Kluyveromyces lactis: one gene and its partner. The protein of the gene in region 1 binds, or shares a complex with, the protein of each later gene. Links are inferred from orthologs where the notes say so. Each region holds a gene or a part of one and is shown on either strand. Other genes may lie near its edges.

What was found.
Region 2: MRPS9 (region 1) and RSM27 share a complex: the UniProt entries of both Saccharomyces cerevisiae proteins name them as parts of the mitochondrial small ribosomal subunit. The link is inferred for Kluyveromyces lactis from reciprocal best matches to the Saccharomyces cerevisiae genes MRPS9 and RSM27.

Annotation. Positions count from the first base shown.
Region 1 is NC_006042.1:1,963,182-1,966,101, forward strand, and holds MRPS9 (mitochondrial 37S ribosomal protein uS9m), read left to right. Parts: upstream 1-1,448; coding exon 1,449-2,342; downstream 2,343-2,920. Other genes in the region: KLLA0_F21010g (zinc-dependent alcohol dehydrogenase), read left to right, coding at 1-822; MHF1 (Mhf1p), read right to left, coding at 2,442-2,759. UniProt on the Saccharomyces cerevisiae protein: Component of the mitochondrial ribosome (mitoribosome), a dedicated translation machinery responsible for the synthesis of mitochondrial genome-encoded proteins, including at least some of the essential transmembrane subunits of the mitochondrial respiratory chain.
Region 2 is NC_006041.1:1,440,268-1,442,590, forward strand, and holds RSM27 (mitochondrial 37S ribosomal protein mS33), read right to left. Parts: upstream 957-2,323; coding exon 630-956; downstream 1-629. Other genes in the region: GPI1 (phosphatidylinositol N-acetylglucosaminyltransferase), read left to right, coding at 1-415; KLLA0_E16149g (uncharacterized protein), read left to right, coding at 1,119-1,283; RPS0A (40S ribosomal protein uS2), read right to left, coding at 1,517-2,191. UniProt on the Saccharomyces cerevisiae protein: Component of the mitochondrial ribosome (mitoribosome), a dedicated translation machinery responsible for the synthesis of mitochondrial genome-encoded proteins, including at least some of the essential transmembrane subunits of the mitochondrial respiratory chain.

The DNA of each region.
Region 1 (2,920 bases):
ATGGGTGAAAACGTCAAGGGCTGGAAGATTGGTGACTTCGCTGGTATCAAATGGTTGAACGGTTCTTGTATGTCCTGTGAATACTGTGAATTGTCCAACGAATCCAACTGTCCAGAAGCTGACTTGTCCGGTTACACTCACGACGGTTCTTTCCAACAATACGCTACTGCTGATGCCGTTCAAGCTGCCAAGATCCCAGTCGGTACTGACTTGGCTGAAGTTGCTCCAGTGCTATGTGCTGGTGTCACCGTTTACAAGGCCCTAAAATCCGCCAACTTGAAGGCCGGTGACTGGGTCGCCATCTCTGGTGCTGCTGGTGGTCTAGGTTCTCTAGCTGTCCAATACGCCAAGGCCATGGGTTACAGAGTGTTGGGTATCGATGCTGGTGAAGAAAAGGCTAAGTTGTTCAAGGACTTGGGTGGTGAATACTTCATTGATTTCACCAAGTCCAAGAACATCCCAGAAGAAGTCATCGAAGCTACCAAGGGTGGTGCTCACGGTGTCATCAACGTCTCTGTCTCCGAATTCGCTATCGAACAATCTACCAACTACGTCAGATCTAACGGTACCGTCGTATTGGTCGGTCTACCAAGAGACGCCAAGTGTAAGTCCGATGTCTTTAACCAAGTTGTGAAGTCCATCTCCATTGTCGGTTCTTACGTCGGTAACAGAGCTGACACCAGAGAAGCCATTGACTTCTTCTCCAGAGGTCTAGTCAAGGCTCCAATCCACGTCGTTGGTTTGTCCGAACTACCATCCATCTACGAAAAGATGGAAAAGGGTGCTATCGTCGGTAGATACGTCGTCGACACTTCAAAATAATGAAATCTCTTCCGCATTCAAGTCATGACTTTTTTCACCTTTTATATGTTTCCCTCCTCTCTCCGTTTATATAAAACATATCTGATCATTACTTCCCACTTATTCCGCCTGGTGTAGTGCTACTAGATCAATCCAACTTTATAATAAATCATTTTATAGACCTTCAAAATGAGACACGATATAATACTTTAATTCTTTAGCTCTTTTATAATAATTCTTACCACCCAAAAAAAAGGGAACTAATAACACCATTATACCATTACAGTACACATTGCGACCATCACCCTTAAGGTGAATACATCTGACCCCTAAAACAACTGGTACGTTCCAACTAGCTGACCTCTTAAGTACATCGACAATGTTCGCTTCGACCATCACACTGTACGAGTTGAAGTTCCATGTCTAACTCTGTATACATTGTCACTGGGAGCGAGCCAGACACGGATCTGCATTTCTAGATTGAAAAACTGAGAAAGTGAAAAATTTGGAAAGCTCAACCAGAGGTAGAGATAGAGATAGAGACAGACATAAATTAAGCTGAGCAGTCTTTATCTTAGTCGCCTGAGGTCTTTCGTGAGCAGTTTCCACAGGGATAGAAGGGGAGACTAAAACCAAAGATCAGAAAAATGTTCTCACGTTTAACTGGTGTCTCTTTGAGACAGGGTCTTACGGTACAGAAAAGACTATTCTCTTATGCCAGGCCATTGTTTAACAGCTCGGGGTCTGAGAGGACCGGTTCTGGTTCAAGGCAGTACAATGATGGCGCCCGTGCTGGTGCAGAATATGGTTACACAGGGACTAGAATTGTGCCTAAGTTGTCTACTTTTTACTCCGCCAACCCACATCACGAAGCTCATATCGATAACTTAGAAGCGTTGTTGAGGAAATATATCAAATATCCTACCGTCCAAGTGGAAGAAAGGCCTTCCTGGTTGAGTTTGCAAGAGTACGCTCTAATAGGTGGTGGGTCCCGTTTGAAATCTACCCAGTATAAGCAGCTTTTGTTCATGTTGAACCGTTTGAATTCTATTGATCCACAGTTGGTTACCGATGAGATTTCGAACACTTTAGCGAAATACCATAAGAAGACGAAGTTGCAACCTCAAAGAGATACTTTGAAGCAATTAGACGAGTTTGGTAGAAGTTTGGCCATCGGAAGAAGAAAGACCTCTACTGCCAAGGTATATGTGGTTCGTGGTGAAGGTAAGATCTTAGTTAACGACCGTCAATTAAACGATTACTTCGTTAAAATGAAGGACAGAGAATCCGTAATGTATCCATTAAAAGCCATTGACAGTGTTGGCAAATATAACGTCTTTGCAATGGTTTCCGGAGGTGGTATTACGGGGCAAGCCGATGCCTTGATGCATGCAATCGGTAAGGCATTGGTTGCTTTCAACCCACTATTGAAAACTAGATTGCATAGATCCGGTGTCTTGACAAGAGATTACAGACACGTCGAAAGAAAGAAGCCTGGTAAGAGAAAGGCAAGAAAGATGCCTACCTGGGTTAAGCGTTGATCTGATATTAGTCTCTGACCTTTCCATTAAAAAAAACACATGCTTGTTTCACAAGTCCTGTACATATATAGCAATTTTACATAATTTAACAAGCTCCTTTCACCTTTTACTCTGTCGTCCTACGTTAGCATCTCGTAGTTCCATTAGTCGTAGTTTCAAAAAATCTTGTAGATCCTTGTTCTTCCTTGTTCGTAGTAACATATCTTCAGACGTAACAACATTTCTGTTAGCATGTTGGGCAAAAGCTTCCAAATCACCACCAACCTCACATATCTGCTGGTAAACCAGTTCAGTAAGAGTGTTGACATATTTTGAATTGTATTTTACATCTTCTGGTAGTTCTCTTTTGATAATCGATTCCACATAGAACCACAGCTTCCCGCGTAACTGGGATCGTAATCTCTTCTCTTCATCCATATTTGATCAACTGAACGACGCTACCATGAATAGAGCCCACAGGACAATGCCAAGTCAGGAATTGCCAGCTCAAAACTCTAAACGAACTGCTCAATCGATTGTAATCTTGTATATCTTGCATATCTTGGATATCTCCGCATTCCCAATGCATATCAATTATA
Region 2 (2,323 bases), on another chromosome or scaffold:
ATTCTATTTGGTATACACAGTGTTCAGATTTGTTGACCTTACAGTGAAAGTGTTGCTTGAACTAAGTTTGGCCCTTATCAACCATTTCCCTTTATTTGCATTGCTTTTACGGATAAAAGATGCTAAAAGGTTACCTGGTGGTATCAAGTTCAAAGTATATGATGATCACTTATTAATATCGAATAATCCAATCAGCTTTTTCATGACCTTTGAACCATTCACAAACGTCATGAAATCCATTCAAAGACAGATGTTCTCGGTTGAGACTTTGAAGATGGTGAGTCAGGGATCAGTTCTTAATGTACGAAGAGATGAACTCTATCGTGTTTTGTACCATAATCTACCGAGACATCCAATTGATATCGATTTACTATGGAAAAAGTTAAAGATGGTAATGGAACAAGATACGATATAAACCCCTCTCACAACCACAATTAATGGCACAGATTGCATAGTTTGAATCTTACTTGAATATTCGTATTTAATAAAAACATAGTTGAAATTCGTTAAATTCTTGGGTCTATTTGAACTGACTGATATAATTTATATACAAGGTATTTTTATATGATGGAAATGTTAATTGCAAGTCCCTTTAAGTGGGATAAAAGGATAGGCTGGGCTCATTTTGATCACTTTCTCTTCTTGGTCTTTTTACCGTCACCAGAGGCCTCTCTCTTCTTAGTTGGAGCACCCTTACCTCTACGCTTTCTTAGTTCAAGCATAGTCAATCTATATTGTTCTTCTTCATCAACGAAGTTCATGCCTGGATATAGTTTCTTCAATTGCTTGAATCTGATAAAATCTGGGTTACCATAATAATTCGCAATAGCAGGTCCTTTAAGCCTCTGTGCTAGGATCTTAGACCCAGTTCTGGCATTTGTTGGATTGAAATTTTGATCAAAAACTTTGGCTGATATCTCAGCAAGCTTCAGTAGCCTAGATTTGGGTACAGACATTTCTCAAAATATGAAAATATGAGTGATAACTGATGGAACAACCCGCAAACTAGTTCGCTGAGAGTTAAAGCACACCTAAGACCTATTTATTGGTACTTTCACTTACTACTTCTGCAGCAGGTTTCTATTTTATGCAAGCTCAGTTTTTTTTCGAATGTTCCAATGTTCAAATTTTCATTATCAGGAAATTATCACCATGATGAGGATAAGAGCGATGAGAGATGCGAGAAGGGTCACATTGCCATACTGGGTACTGAAGCACCATTGAAGGGGAAATATTCAGTTGGCACGTTCAATCAATTAAATAATATTCAATTCTTTGTATAATTATCGGGTACTAGCCTGGATCAATAATGATATTAAAATTATACACGATGTGGAGTTTTAAAAACTAGTAAAAATAGTTAAAAATATGAGCGGATGGTTGAGAGTTGTTGCATGAAGCTATAATAATAACAATGATAGTATGCTAAGCATTGAATCTATATTATAGAATGATGAATTAAACAAAAAAAAAGGTGGAATAACTTCCAGGAATTCAGTTAAAGAATTCTTGAAGTTTAGTTCCATTCTTCTTCTTGAGCTTGACCTTCTTCAGCCCATTCAGCAGCTTCGGTTTGTTCTTCAGTAGCGTCAACGGCTTCTTCAGTTTGTTCACCGGAAGCAACAGCTTCTTCTTCAGCAGTTTGTTGTTCGATTTCTTCTGGGTTTCTGTAGAAGTACAAATCTGGCATGATAGCCCATGGTTGAGTTCTGTCTGGTAGAGCACCTCTCAATCTTAGGACTTCTCTAGCCAACAAGTACCAGATCAAACCGATGGAGTGCTTACCTCTGTTGTTACATGGGATAGCAACATCAACGTATTCGGATGGGGAGTCCAAATCGGTCAAAGCGATGACTGGGATGTTAACGTAAGAAGATTCCTTGATAGCTTGAGCATCGGATCTTGGGTCAGTAACGATAACCAATCTTGGTTCCTTGAAAGATCTGGTGATGTAGTTAGTGAAAGAACCTGGGGTAAATCTACCAGCAATTGGAGTAGCACCGGTGTGAGCAGCGTACTTCAAGACAGCTCTTTGACCATAAGTTCTGGAAGAGATAGCAACAACATCTTCTGGGTTTGGAATGGCAGCAATGATTCTGGCAGCCAAAACAATCTTTTCCCAGGTCTTACCAACGTTGATAACGTTGACACCATCTGGTCTAGCCTTGTAGACGTATGGTTCTTGGTGAACCTGTTAATAATTAAAAAATAACCATGCAAACGTTTCGTTCGCAAAAGTTAAAAATATATTGTTAGTAAAGAGAGAGCTTTTTCCCAACCGCAACATGCGACAGGATACACTTTTCGAAGTGCAGATATTACC